Linked DNA regions of Danio rerio. The protein of the gene in region 2 binds, or shares a complex with, the protein of the main gene of each other region. Links are inferred from orthologs where the notes say so. Each region holds a gene or a part of one and is shown on either strand. Other genes may lie near its edges. The genes, in order: ybx1 and hnrnpua.

Region 1 (7,366 bases), on a different chromosome or scaffold from region 2:
CTTCACTAGACGCTGCTTGACCGTGTAAGCAGAGTGTTTATTTCTATATTATAACACTTTGTCAGTCGCCATTTCCTAAATGTTCACTCAAGCCTTTTATTGGAGACGTTTACTAGAGCACTTCACAATTCTTTTATTTAAACTGCTTTGTTAGTTTTATACTCTGTTTGTTTACTGAAAGAACTCTGTTGTCAACAAAGACTAAAGCTGAACTGAAATAAATTTTTCACAATAAATGAAAATAAAACTAAATAAAACTAATAAGTCACTGAAAAATGAACCAAAACTGAAAATATTAATTAGCAAAAATAATAGTTTTCAGAGCTAATCAATTGTGTCCGTGAGGTCTTGAATTTCTCTAAATTATTAACTTTGCGTTTAAGACTTTAAGGGCCTTAAAGTATTGTTTCAATTTAACTTTTGCATCATGTTTGAGTATAGGGTTGTTTGATTATAGTTGTATACTAAAGTTTTAAATGTTGTGATGCTGTGTAGTTTATGAAGTTGATAGTCCTGCTGTATTTGATGTCACACTGCTTTGTTTACTGCAGTAATGAAGGCAGCACACTGTTCTATAGGTGACATCTTCTGGATTAACATTGTTAAAGTATATGAATGATGTTTTAGTTTAGGACTAGTTTCTTACAGTCAATATTTAGTGAATCTATTTAATGTCGCCAATGTTATTGGTTCAGACTTGGTGGCGATGAGGTCTTCATGTTTGGTGATACCTGTTGGTTGTCAAGTGCATGATGTACCAAAAAACTAAAACGTATCAGTTTTTGTTATCTGCCAAAATTTGTTAACTATACATGTTGATACTTTTAATATGATGTTTCTCACTTTCATGCCAAACAACAGTTTATGATTTTGCTAATTTTTTTAAGTTGAATTTATATGGTGTTTCTGTTCAAGTCCAAAAAAAAAAAAAAAGCGGTGAAAACATTTGCTTAACTCTAGGTGTGTGAGAATTGCCAAAACTGAAACTAAATGTGTAAGAACAAAATGAAAATGTTGACAGCAAATTAAAAGCCAAACTAAAACTAACAAAGCCATTAATAAAAATGATAAGCTGAAATTCAAAATCAGAGAGGTTATGTCATCAGAACTACTAAAATAATTCTCTGCGTATCCTAAATAAAAATGCTTTGAAGCCGATATTGATTAAGCATCATATTTCTGGCCAGACTCTGAATGACTTACTGGAAAATTCTGCATCCATTATCTAAAGCAACAGCCCATCTATTAAATTAGCGGACACTTGATCTGCATTGTCTTCATTCTGTCAGGGGGCTGAGGCAGCAAATGTTACCGGCCCGGGTGGCGTTCCTGTGCAGGGTAGTAAGTATGCAGCTGACAGGAACCGTTACAGGCGGTACCCACGCAGGAGGGCCCCACCTCGCGACTACCAGGAGAACTATCAGAGCGACCCTGAGGCAGAGCCCCGGGAGAAGAGAGAGGGGGCAGAGAGCGCCCCCGAGGGGGAGATGCAGCAGCAGCAGCGCAGACCCACTTACCCCGGCAGACGGCGCTACCCACCATACTTCGTGCGGAGGCGTTACGGCAGACGCCCCCCCTACACCAACTCACAAAGAGGAGAGATGACAGAGGTATGCTTTTGGTGATGCCTGAGCATCAGTCAGTAAATTAAATTGGAAGCTGCTTTTTTGACTGATGGATGCTTTTCTTGAATTTTAGGGTGGTGAAGGTGAAGAGAACCAAGGGGGTCCAGACCAGGGCAACAAACCAATGAGGCAGAACTACTACAGAGGCTTCCGACCAAGGTTTGTATGTCATAAGAGGAACAATACTGCTGCTGGACTTTGGAGATCTTTCAGATATTCATGATTTTCATTATTTAAGTTTTCTTTTTCTATTGTTTTAATTAAGTATTAATTTAGCAATTCTATTTATTTATTTTTTTAATAGAATGATCCACCCCAAATTACAAGTTTCCTGATAAATTACTCTTGGGTCATTGAAGTAGGCCTGTCACGATCAATATATAGACTTACTGCACAACACATGGACTTGACCTCGATCATTTTTGGTGATGCAGTATATATCGCCCATACATAATCAGTTCTAGCAACGTTTTAACTGAGCAGCCTCTTTATGGTTCTAAACATTGTAGTAATTCCTAGAGTATATTTTTATGTGGATGACTGACAGCTGAAAATAGATCTGCTAACATATCACAGACTTTGTTACTTATTACCTTGCACTTTTATTCTATTTAAATTTTTTGTTAACATTTTATTGTTTACAATATGCGTTTCACACTTTTTGATTCCAGTGCCTGATTATTAAATAGTTAAAATGGCAATTAAACAATCTTAAGAATAAATTGTGTTCTTTGGAAGTGTATTTGTTTTGTGGTTAATATATTGTCATTCTGGCATTATTTAATAAAAGGCTTTTAAAATGACAATAATATTGTTTATCACTATACATTTTGGTTCAAAATGTTGTTTAACAAAAAAATAGATATTGTGACAGGCCTACGTCTAAGATGTAGATGACTTAATTTTTCTTCTCCTTTTTAGCTAAATCTGTGGTCTTTGGGGATTTTATATTAGAGCAGTAAATGGTTCTGGGTTTTCTAGAATAAAAATAAAAGCATACAAAAGAGTCAATCAATATCTCTGTGCAAGTGTGACTAGTCTTTATGATTTGATTTGTCATTTTTGATCTTGATTTATGAAAGTGCAAAGGCACTCATTCAAACAAGTGATGCAGTTTTTGTATTTTGATGACTGACTAGAGTCGCACATGCACCAAGAACTGTTTTTAGCTTTCTACAGTGCGGTCAAACACTGTAAAGGTTCAGTTTCAGTAAATGAAAACGGTATTTGTTTTTGTGTGAACCCTTTTTTTTTTTTTTTTTTTTAAATCTCACAAATCAAACCTCATTATGTCCATCCTGCACAGTCGAGCTTAGGAAGAATAAAGCTAAACCATAATACTGCAAGATACACCGAATAAGTGCAAGTCTGGAGCATTTTGCTTTTTAAATGTTTTACTAATTAACCGCACCCTTTTTTTTTGTGTGTGAGAAATGAATTAAAAGTTACCTCATATGTTGCTTTTAGTATTAGGAAATTGCAATGGTAAACTGCATTCTTTCTAATGCTTTGAACATTTGGCATGAACATTTCTTCGAATGATCTTTCAAATTATTAGTTAAACTAACTTCTATTGCTCTTTAAATAGACTTCCCGTTGTGAAAGACTGTGTATTTAGTATCATGAACTAATAATGTATTTATGGACACAACTAAAAATCCAGAACTGTTCTTGTAACATTACTCCACTTAAAGTTAACATCTATATTTTCATTTAACAAGCACATACTTTAACTAATAAACTAAACATTCATTAATGTATTTACAAACATGTACAGGATCCTGTTTTGTAAAGTGTTACTATAAAACCAATAGCTGTCCCATCCCGTTTGTGCTCTTACATTTGGTTAGAACTGTAAAGTAGTTTGAGCATCAGTGTTTCCCAACCATAGTCCCGGAGGACCACCAGCACTGCATGTTTTGGAAATCTCCTTTGTCTGTCAAACCCATTTCAGGTCTTTCAGTTTTTAATAATGAGCTGATGATCTAAATCAGGTGTGTTTGGTTACGGAGACATGAAAAATGTGCAGAGCTGGTGGTCCTCCAGGATTGTGGTTAAGAAACACACTGCCTTAGAAACTGATACTGGGAATCTGATGGACACTTCATCATCTGTGTTCCAGCAGGGGTCCCTCACGTCCCCGGCCAGTGCGGGACGGAGAGGAGGATAAGGAGAACCAGAGCGAGAGCGGACAGAACCAGGAGCCCCGTCAGCGCCGCTACCGTCGCAACTTCAACTACCGCCGCAGACGCCCCCAGACAACCAAGCCTCAGGACGGCAAGGACAGCAAGGCAGCCGACGCATCAGCCGACAAATCAGCCGCTCCCGAAGCCGAACAGGGCGGAGCAGATTAAACCGCCACCGGCTTAAACATCCAGACCATCCGGCCGGGTGGGTGACGCCGTTTCATTTCAGCTAGTACTGCATGTACTTTAACATACTTGATCTTCAAGTGTGTTGCAATTTGTACAGTAGCATTCTTTTGTTTCGTTTTTTCTATAATTGTTTTTGTTGACAGAGTCTCATGAAAGATCTGAAAGGCACATTTTGCTTAATAAATGTTTTGTTGTTGCCTAAAGGAAATAAAGAATATTTGAAGCAGAATGATGTTTGGTGTTATTTCATGACAATTAAGCAGAAGTTCTTGTGGAAAATGTTTTAAATACAACCTTAGCCAAGCGGATTGTAAAATGTGCAGTCATTTTCATGTGATTTGTGCTTAAATGTCATGAAAGTTGTGCTGGTGGACTGATTTAATGCCTTATTAGCTCCTTTTAGACGTAACTCTAGATAATGGATGATGTTTTAGCTTTAGCTCGCACTTTTCATTGATGGAAGGTTGGATGATGGAATGGATTTGATTTAGCAGACTGTCTGCTTTGTCCTTTCACACACATTTTAGTGCTTGTAACTGATGAGTTGCTTCAAGCATACTGACTTAGTGTTTTGTGTGTGTGTTTGCTTTCACAGTTTTGTCAAGAAGAAACATCCAACATCTGAGCAATAAGAAACAGATATGACTTCGATCGTCTAAGCTTGCAAAAATGCATTTCGACCAGATTACCACCGATTGCCTGCAGACTCTATGCAGACTTTTTTTTTTGTTTGTTTTGTTTTTCCATTATTTTTGTGACAGCTAAAACTTTTGGGGAAACAGCAGATGTTTTTCTAAATCGGTCTTAAGTTTTTACACCAAATGGTTTTTAAATGTAATTTGATATCTGGTCAGTTTGACATTTTTAAATAACTTTTTATGTATCCAAACATGAATTTTAACAAAAGGCAAGCTGAAATAAAAACCAGAAACATTAATCTCGTACGAGTGGTGTTTGTTAACAGTTCCTGATTCACACTAGTCTAAAAATCATCTCTACAAACAGTGTCCTGCGGCTGGGGTTCGGTTCACACGTTGGTCTCTTTGCGGAGTCTCTCCATACGCTGGATGTTGTTCTCCATGGCGGTGCGGTTGGTGATCTGAGTGGCACAACTAGCAGGAAACCAGCCTCTCTCCCCATCTCTCATGCGCTCTCCATAACACCAACCTACAACAGTCATACAACAAACATTTGAATCTTCAGTCCAAAGCATTGTGGGAGTTTCTGTGGGAACACTGAGTCACAGGATGTCATCATATCCTATTTGTTACCGTGACACACTAAAGTGGTATTTGCAGGGTGGGGGTAGTGCTACATGAAGCTTTGAATTATTTACAAATCTTTTGTTTGGATGGGCATATCAAATTAACACCTTTTTAGTTTTGATAATTCTGTGGCTTTTAGCTTGTGGTGATCTGAGGAGTACCATAAAATTAGCATGATTCCCACAGATGGCCCCCCAGTGGTGAATCTGAACCAGTTTTGTCCTTTCTCTAAACTATGGGTCTTGTTTATATAATGTGAAGAAATCGTTCTAAATTTGATCTGAGATCATTTTGCAAATGTGCGATTCAACCTGTTTTCCAGAAGAGACATTTAGAGTTCGCAAAACATCTGTGCTGCGTTTCAAATTGTATGCATACGTATTATATAGTACGCTAAAAACACAGTATGCTAGCTGTGTAGCATGTCCGAATTCGGAAAAAAAAACAGTATGCGAGAAGTACCTGGATCACCTACTATATCTGTCTAGATTCTGGAGTGCGCATCCAATCCATGCTACATAGGGCAAAAATGCACACTCAATAATTATTTTCCATCTTAAACGACAACGATATATTTCGATATCAGTAGTTGTTGCTTCCAAATTTAAGAGTATCCCAAAAATGACTGAAGCTACAAAAATTAGAGGGGCCATTAAATGGCATAACATTTCAGTGGCCGAAAATTCAGAACATCTCTATTATCAACACACTTTAAGATTCCCATTGTTGTACATTTCTGCCCTTGGATCAATATAGAGTAAAAATCATTGACAATTTTATCACGTTTCAATATAATATCTTTTATCGACCCAGCCCTAACTTAAATTTCAGATAAAGACGTCCGATCACCATCTTAAAGTAAACACCCCTTAATTATTGTCCTTGCCACATTAAAAAGCACACACCAATATTCCAATTTCTATGCTTAAGAATTTACACATACACCAAACAATTATGGGTTCCACACAATTCTTTCATGTTGTCTCAACACAAACCAATTATTTTACGTAATTGTTTTTACACAATTAATAGGCCTGAACATAAAACAATTTAGTTGTCCCAAAAACCTTAAGAAATGTTTCTTCAACTCATTTTAAATAAGTAGTTGGAACTAGCAGCAAAAGTCATTTCTGAGTGGGGGAAAAACAACTGAACTAATAACAGTATTAGTATTACACAATAGAATAAAATAATTAGGGTTTCAAGAGTAACAAGAAACTTAAGATTTAATAAAACATTTGAGTTAAAAAAGTCAATTATAATGCGTGCTTTTCCAGAGCGGTTGTTGCATTTACAGCTTTGTGACATTTCCAATGCTTCAAATCATTTGAATAATTTTGCGAGGTTCAATTGTTGAAGCTTTGAAAAATGTTTCTCCCATTATAGCGGTCTGCTTAGTCTACATTACAAATGACGTCAAGACTAAAGGTGCGTCTTAAATTGCATACTTATGCACTATTCTACACAATTTTGTTGTCTAAATAGTGTAGTGCAGTGGTTCTCAAACTTTTTTTTATCAAGTACCACCTCAGAAAAAAATTGTCTCTCCAAGTACCACCAAAATGAGCAGTATTGAAATACAATAGCGTAGAAGGCCCAGTAAAGCAGCTACATCTCTGCAAGGTTAAAAAAAACGTGGCTGATTACCTCAGAACTATAGGCTATATGGCATATTATTTACATCATTTTTGATAAATTTTTAAATGTGTGTAGCATGTACATGACATATTTCATTCCTCCACGTACCACTAGAAGGAAGCCTGTGTACCACTAGTACAGTGTACCACAGTTTGAGAACCACTGGTGTAGTGCATTCATGCTGAAAACTCATAAAAAATAATAAGTGCACTTTAATTACCCGGATGATGCACTCGTTCAACCGGTAAAATTAAGTGCATCAGGTTGGACACTTCACGCACTTAACGGCCACTCGTGTAGCGGATGGGGTGCACATGTAGGATTATTTATTGTGGATTGTAAAAGCAAAGTTCTCCTTTAAGAGTGATTACAGCGCCTCCCGATGGTGAATGCGGTTATACTCATGGCAGGTATTATTTGGTACTTTGGTCATTTATTTCACTGATTAGGAGACTGACAAATA
Region 2 (8,497 bases):
TGATTGTTTCCCATTCATAACATTTTATAACAATCTCAAATATAAATGCAAAAAATAAAAACAAACATTTTTAGCTAAATCAACCGGATAATTTGATCAAGACGTGTAATTTTTTTTTCTGGATTAACAGAGAATCATTATTTATTATTATTATTTTTTATTTAAAGAGATCTCAATGGGGTATATGCCGAAGCATGCTAATAGGACTTTTAATTTGCCAGTAACCTGGGTTAAGCGCTTCCGGCGAATTGAATGCCAATGCAAAATCCGGTGCGTTTAAGGTCTGTTTTCTTTAAAAATGATATCCGATTTAAAGTGGGTCTCAGATTGTACAAGCAGCACCGCATTAAATTACATTTCCCCTGCCATATCTTTATAATATGAGCATTTATTTTACCCCAGTGTATTCAATGGAGCTTCTGCGTTAGCGTGCCGATTCTGACAGGCGCGTGCGAGTAAACAGCTTTTTGTCTCATTTAACGCTTGAGCAACTAAATAAATGCTAAAGTTCGTTTAACTGAATATATTTTAATGACATTACAACATCGATGCTGTATAAGGAACCGTATAAAAGGGAAAAAAAGTTCACAATAACAGGTCACCAGAAGTGTATCAACATGGGAACAGCACTAGCTCGGCATATACCATATTGATAGTTTTAACATGATGTTACACCATTAGGGGAATGGCTGCTAGTGGGCAAACATTAATATGTTCTGCTGACAACCAAGGCCCAATCCCTATTGTATTATTTTACACCTACCCCTTGGCCCTTGAAACAGAGTGTGAAGGTAAAGGATTTCAAAATCTTTCCCTAAAAAAATGGGACAGCACTACAGCACCTGCACACGACATCATATGATGTTGCAAGCTCTTCATATAAGATCAATGACAGCAACTGCTGTAATTATTCCACATGCATTGTTTTTTGTATTTATCTTTAGGCAATCACCAAAGGCAGCACTATACATATATCTCAAAACAAACTTTTATTTTGGATGCAATTAATCTTTGCACAGCATTAGAGAAAATTGTACATATTTTGCCTTTAAGAGCGAACTCTCACCTTCATCTCAAAGCAAGCCTTGCCCTTGTCCACTCCATAAGACCCTCGTCCTCCTGCCCACAGGTAGGCAAAGCTCTCCATCGTAAGAGACGAGGCGCTGTAGCGATCACGAGACACCTTGAAGTGCAGGTCACAGTTGTCTGAAGAGAAAAGACGAGACTGTATTTATTACAAGCTACAGACTGACTGCACATTCAGCAGAAACGATGTTGTGACCTGCAGGCTTTACCATATCACCAGTATTTTGCATCAAAAACATATTGCGAGTTGTTTTTAAGTAAGATCTTCATACTCACAGGTGTCCAAACACACGGTTGTGTCATCAAACTCTTCATCTTCTTCCTCCAGAGGGGGCTGAGGAGACTTTGCCCTGAGAGAAAGGAAAATAATTTAGCTGATTTACTATTTTGTAATCAAGTGAAATACACTTAGCCTTCAGATGCAAAAGTCTGTCAGATTTTTTGCATCTGAAGTCCATTTATTTGTGTGTGTGTGTGTGTGTGTGTGTGTGTGTGTGTGTGTGCGCGCGCGCATCACAGCCATTTTTTTTTATTATTGTAATTTTTTTTTTATAAAGGCATTTTAAAGATAATTTTCTCTGGATTTCTCAAAAATTGTCAAAGGGTTTTTACTTATCAGAAGTTAAAACATTGATATTGTGTTGGTATTTTTAAAAATTGTATTATATATTAAAATAAAATATTTAAAAATATATAAAATCTATAAACAATAAATAATAATAAAAAAAATATAATATATTTAAGTGAATAATAAGTTTTTAAAATATATATTAGGGCTGCACAATATTGGGAAAAATATTTAGTTTAGTTTTCCTGCAATACTGTATACATTGTAATATGAAAATCTTTTTCTAAAATGACTATATGAAAAATAAATAAATAAATAAAAAAATAGAGTACAAAATAGTCAAAGTATAAAAAGCAGAAATGAATGAATAGATTTTCCCTATACACAAATATTAATCTTATCCAAAAAACAATAATAAAAATTATATATATATATATATATATATATATATATATATATATATATATATATATATATATATATATATATATATATATATAAAGCAGACACTTAGTTAAACAAAATAACAGTGTCAACAATGACTAAACTACTGAGAAATATCCACAAGATAAATGTGAACATCACATAATTGGAGATCTGACTGGGACATGAGGGTTTTAAATGACTGAAAAACAGCTGCGGGTGCAGTTAATGGTTTTTGGTTGGACAGTTTAACAGTATTGAAGTTAAAAAATTTAATGATCAAAAGTAAATTAAGACTGCACAGTTTTTATTCTACTGTATTAAGTAATTAAACACAATTCATCTCCATTAAAGCGACAAACTTGTGCCTAAATGCTTCAAATTCTCCTGAAATCTTAGTCACATTCCTTTAAAACAAAGACAGAAAATAATAAAAGTCTTTTGCAACGACTTCACAAATCGCATGATACGAGACGTGTTTTCTGGTTACTTATAATCCCAATATGACATTGCGGATCCTGTGATGTGACTATTGCAGATTCGCACATCGCAATGTTGATGTTGAAACAATATATTGTGCAGCATTAATATACATATTTAAATATAACCATTTTGATTTCATCATTGTTTAACATTTACATTTTAAGAGTATAAAAATGTTTAGTGGTTGTGAATGCATTACCTGGAAAAAGAAAAAAGACAAATTAGCATATCACCAATACATAAACAAATACATATATTAATTAAACACAACATAAACAATAATAATAACACAAAAGAAGAATATACGATTTAAACATAATATCTGATAAAAACAATAACCCATACAATATAACTTCCACCAAAACACATTGATTTCATTCTTTAACAGCCCGAGCACTGAGGTGAAAGAGATGCCCTTAATATTATTATAAGCTCAAAATTATTTCAAATGGTCAGTAAAAATGTGTGTTTCTTTGCACTGATGTCAGATCTGGCTCTTTACTGCCAGAACTGCTCATAAATCTTTCAGGTGCAGCGGAACCTCAGGAGTACCAGCAGCCCGACTGCACAATTCTTACCGGCTGTATTTTCTTTCTTCAATAAATTCAAAGTAGGCCCTTCCATGTTCATCTCGGCGTCTCTTTACACCCTTCTTATTCTTCTGTTCATCTTTCTTGTCTTTGTCCGCATCCCCTTTGGAAAACAAACAATAAAGCGTAAGGAAGAGTACCTCCCTGCTGGACCAGGCATGATGTAACATGATGGTCCACAGAATTACTGGAGGATTTATACTCTTGTTTAGGGTATGCATGAATTGCAATGAGCAGTGCTTTAAAAGAAAATTTATGCTCAAGGAGCGACGTCAGACAGTGCGGGTATTGTACACTGCGGGATTGTATGAGTACAGACAGAAGGTTGATGCCAAGACAACTGCAAACTGTGCAATTTTGAGCTGAGTAACACACATTTACATATTCAAATTGCATGCATCTTGAAGAACTGCAAATGTTGTGACATAAAAATTAGCGATGCACCGATACTGAAACCAGTATCGGGTCAATGCTTTGTTAAAATACTTGTACTCGTATCGCAAATGAAATGACGATACCACTCAACAGTATGTCACTACGTTGATTTGTTGTCCTACATGACTTTAATGTCTTAAGACAATAATTAAAAGAGTGGCGAGACTTGACAAGGCCATATGATGCTTTAAAATGCTTTTCTAATGTTCATGACTATAGTATACAAATGAATGAGGTGTCACAGAGCACTGACTGAATCAGATGGCCAATCAGAGATATTGGCTATCCAGAGAAAGGGGCTTGGTTGAAACCAAAACTCAATCAGAGCTGCAGCAATGCAGAGAAAGTGGAAAATAATATACATTTTTTTGAAAATTAAAGCATTATTTTAAATTAAATAATAAATTAAAATAGCATCATAAGGCCTGTTTGATGGTCACAGATGTAGGCTAAAGCCACTAACCCCCCTTTAGCACAAAGGGGGTAGAAGCATCTGCCAAATGACAACAAAGAATACCATGAGGTGCTCCTCAATACTGTAGGGCATCTATGGACCTGAAAAAGTTTAACTTCCACTAAAAACATGTAGTCAATAAACATGAAATATATAGTGTTTGAGTTTTTAGCCCCTTTAAGCAACATATTTTCCAATAGTCTACAGAACAAACCATCATTATACAATAACTTGCCTAATAACCCTTACCTGCCTAGTTAATAATTAATCTAGTTAAGCCTTTGAATATCATTTTAAGCTGAATACTAGTATCTTGAAAATTCTTAAGTAAAATATTATTTACTGTCATCATGACAATAATAAAATAAATCAGTTATTACAAATGAGTTATTAAAACTATTATGGTTAGAAATGTTTTGAAAAAATCTGCTTCTTTTCCGTTAAAAAGAAATTGGGGAAAAAATAAACAGGGGAGCTAATAATTATGACTTCAACTGTGTACTGGTGCAAAGACATTATAAGGGATCAATTAAATAAAATGAATAAATCAAAATGTACATTTTTAATAAAAAAAAATAACAATGGATTTTTTTCATTATTTCTTGCATTTAATTTGCAGATATTTCTCATACTTTAATTAGGTTAATGAAATATGTATTACATTAAGGTTTGACATATGTAGCACAATGTAAAGAAGATGTTGCATTCACCATAAAAATATATATATTGAAAAACTATTGGATAATCAATAAAATTATAAAACACTAAATAAAGGAAATAGGAATAAGAAAATAATTAAATTACGTAAAAATATAAGTTTATATTTTATTAGAAATAAATATTTGAAATAAAAAGAAATACATTGTATTATATTATGCATGTTATTATAATTAATATAATTATGTATAACATTTAGCTATATTAGATTAGAATAAAATAAAATACTTACATACTTAGCAAAGTAAAGCCTATTGCTGTAAATCATATAACCTGAAACTGTAGCAGTAACTCAAGGAGAAACAAATGGGACAGCAGCAATGAGCCCATAACAAACCCCAGTATACGCGTTCTGCTGACAGTATGAATTATTTTAGCCCAATTATACACAAAGTAACTATGAATTACTCGATCTTCATCGTATAATCTCACCCTTGTCAAGAGCCACATCATCCTCATCGAATTTCTCCATCTCTTCATCTTCATCATCATCACCATCATCATCTTTAAGAAGAGCGTCTTCATCCGATTTATCCATCTCTACCCCGGCGTCCTCCTCTTCCTCCTCCATAATATCATCATGCTCGGCCTCCGCGTTTCCTCCATCCTCTTCTTCCTCCTCCATGCTCTCTCCCACCGGGTCCTCCTCCAGGTCTTTGCCGGCGGGGTCTCCTCCGTCCTCGTACCGACGCTCGGAGCCGTTAGTACCAGAGAGCGCCTCCTCGTCTAGTGCGGCCTGCAGGCGCGACATAAGATCCGCCTTCAGCCCTTTATCAGACAGACTCCTTTTCTTTAGCTCGTCCTTCAGCTCGTTCACTTTCAGCTTCTTCACGTTTATAGCGCTCATTGTGACCGTCGTCTTCAGACTTGTGTATTTGAGCAATTATGAACGGAAAATATGAACGGAAAGGGCAGGTTGTTGTGAGCGGACTGTCCGTTAACGCGCGGTGCGGTCACTGTAGGCAGCAGTCGAAGCGGAACAAGGCCAGCTCAGCTTTATATAATCTACCGTAAAGCACGTTATAGCCGAGCGCGTATGAGACTACCGTAAATATCGATATTGATTTAAGATAATAGACGTAGTTTTACAATTTTTAGAAATTGTATTGTCTGTGTGGCTTTTTTGTTTAAAACTTAAGGCATTTTTTGTTCTGTTTTTAAACATGGAATTTAATTAGATATTTTACAGTCCTTTAGATAGGGTGGCTCTTTTTTCTGAAAAAGTGGACCTTTTCTGCAGTTATTCACCTCATTTTCTATTCAATTATGAGGTTTAAATAATGCATTGTAGTGACATTTTAATTACTAATCTTCGCCGAATCTTTTTGACGTACTAAAAATATTTTCTAGAGTGCTTATACTGCTTTATTACAAAGAATTTGCATTTAAACTTTAATTTACTACAGTTATATAAATAATGCTATGAGTTTTATTCAAATAAAAAATTAATAAAGAAAAATAAAAACATACTTATTTTTAAATACAAATTTTTTATCATCCATCATTTTAAAAATATATGGTCAAACTTGTTTTAAACTAAAAAGTGTAGCAGAAAAAAAAAACTCACCATCTCATTTCACTTTCCTCAGAAAGCCAGAATTTGGCCACTTGATGAGCAGATGAACATGATGTATATAAATTAATTTCTGCCTCTCCTGATGCCTCTATTTTGATTTCCCATTTTATAGCCGTTTGTAATAATCAGTTTGACATATCTACTTTGTATTTGAAAGATTCTTGAAAGATTTACAGATTATAATTACCAATGGGGACTGGAAAAAGTCTATCAAGGTCATAATAAATACATAAGAGTGTGAAGATGCAAAAACCTCTAAATGCCTTTTGAAACATTTCCCTAAAAGGAGTATTTTTTATGTGTATTCATATCACTTAAATGGCAAAGATTAAGTCCTTTTCCTGGGCTTTAAAGTAAAATATCTCAACATAAACAAAGGATGCTGAGAAAAAAGTAAATTTTCTATGGAAATTTCAGATGTTTTTTGCATCTAAACTCTTGACATGTTCTATTAACTCAAGACACCTAATCCAATATAAAAGTGTGCATTGGCTTCATTATTCTATAGGGTTAAGCTTAATAAATTCTAGTCCTCTATCTCCTGTAAATGTAATAAATGTGAAGCTGAAGGCTTCATAGGACATATTTTTTGGTCATGGCCAAAACCTTTTGAGATTTGGAGCAAAATGTTCAGATTCTACTCTGGGGCTTGTTCTTATGACCTTGCCCCTGATCCAGCAATCACTGTTTAGGTTTATCTGACTCAATTTGTAGGTTCAGTCATCAAATTAAAAAAGCTGTCCAATATAGAATGGTGATATATAGCTAAAAAACATTATTCTTTGTTTATGAAAAAGGCATCAAAACCACTTTAAATCCTTAAATCCTGGCTTTCAGAATTTTCTGCCACTTTACATTTAGAGAGAATTAGACACAATTTTTCTGAAAACATTGCTGGCTTCGAAGCCACCTGGAAACCCTTTTTAACTATCTGACAAATGCCAAGAATAACAGTTTAAAGGTATTACCCTGTCATCGTCTGCAAGATCACCATATTGCCTGTGCCCACCCCACTGGCTATATGTGTAACATTGTTGACCCATGTATAATATTGGAGGAACTGATGTAATAATTGTTTTAAAACCTTTTTTTTGTTCTGTCTTTTTTTTTGTTGAGTTTATTTTCTGTCTTTATAATTGTTGTTGCCTTTTGTATTGCTTTGTGTTGCTTTGAAGTCAAAATAAAAATATAATATTCAAAATAAAAAAAAGAGTTGTATCATCAGCTAGTTGACTAATTATTGTGTTCCATAAAATGAATGCCTGCAATATTGTCATTTTTAACAAGAATTGCTAATAGTTCTGCAGCCAATATACATAATTTGAGGAAAGCTTCTACATCCTTGCCTTATTCCTCTGGTCACATGAAATATATTTTCTTGGCACTCAAAGCGCATTACACATAGAGGGAATCTCCTCATCCACTTTTTTTTTAAATGTAAGAAAGAACATTACAAAGATATAATATGAACAAAGAGACAAAGAGGGTTACATAAATAGAAATCCAGCTAATTAAACAAGTTTAAATGATTTACACCAAGAAAGCGTTTTACATCCAGTGCAATTGTTAGAGTCTTTTAAAGAGTTCACATAAATTTCAAAGTCCTTTCTGAAAATAAAAAAGTAAGGGTGTTTCTTTGAAAATTCACATTTATGGATATAAAATTTAGCAATAAAGCAATAAATCAATAATAAATTTACACTGAGAAGGATCTACACTCAGAGAGTAACCAAAGAATACAATTTTTGAGGAAATACAGAAGTTTGGAAATAAGAATTTGTTTATGAAATTGGAAAAGTCAACCCAAAACACTTCACAGTAAGTACACTCCCAAAATAAATGGTTTAGTGTTTCATCATATTGAGTACAAAATGAGCATTTAGGTGAAATATTGTTATTAAATTTAGCTAGTTTGATATTTATTGGGTAGCAATCTCCTCATCAGTGTAGCATCCACCTGTATGACGCGACAGCAGCCATTTTGCACCAGACCGCACACCACAGAGAGAGAAGACAGCGTGATAAAGTCAATTATGATATGGGGAGGGTTGGGAGGCCATGATGGACAGAGGCTGGGATATTGGGGTATATGCTGAAGCATGCTAATAGGACTTTTAATTTGCCAGTAACCTGGGTTAAGCGCTTCCGGCAAACTGTATGCCAAA

Evidence for each region.
Region 1: hnrnpua (region 2) and ybx1 share a complex: the UniProt entries of both Homo sapiens proteins name them as parts of the coding region determinant (CRD)-mediated complex. The link is inferred for Danio rerio from reciprocal best matches to the Homo sapiens genes HNRNPU and YBX1.

What each region holds. Positions count from the first base shown.
Region 1 is NC_133183.1:56,869,378-56,876,743, reverse strand, and holds the end of ybx1 (Y-box-binding protein 1), read left to right. Parts: intron 1-1,289; coding exon 1,290-1,610; intron 1,611-1,698; coding exon 1,699-1,784; intron 1,785-3,747; coding exon of another isoform or gene 3,748-3,750; coding exon 3,751-3,979; 3' UTR 3,980-4,016; intron 4,017-4,595; 3' UTR 4,596-4,937; downstream 4,938-7,366. UniProt on the Homo sapiens protein: DNA- and RNA-binding protein involved in various processes, such as translational repression, RNA stabilization, mRNA splicing, DNA repair and transcription regulation.
Region 2 is NC_133192.1:12,687,227-12,695,723, forward strand, and holds the start of hnrnpua (heterogeneous nuclear ribonucleoprotein U), read right to left. Parts: upstream 5,728-8,497; 5' UTR 5,604-5,727; coding exon 5,189-5,603; intron 3,254-5,188; coding exon 3,139-3,253; intron 1,437-3,138; coding exon 1,363-1,436; intron 1,207-1,362; coding exon 1,067-1,206; intron 1-1,066. UniProt on the Homo sapiens protein: DNA- and RNA-binding protein involved in several cellular processes such as nuclear chromatin organization, telomere-length regulation, transcription, mRNA alternative splicing and stability, Xist-mediated transcriptional silencing and mitotic cell progression.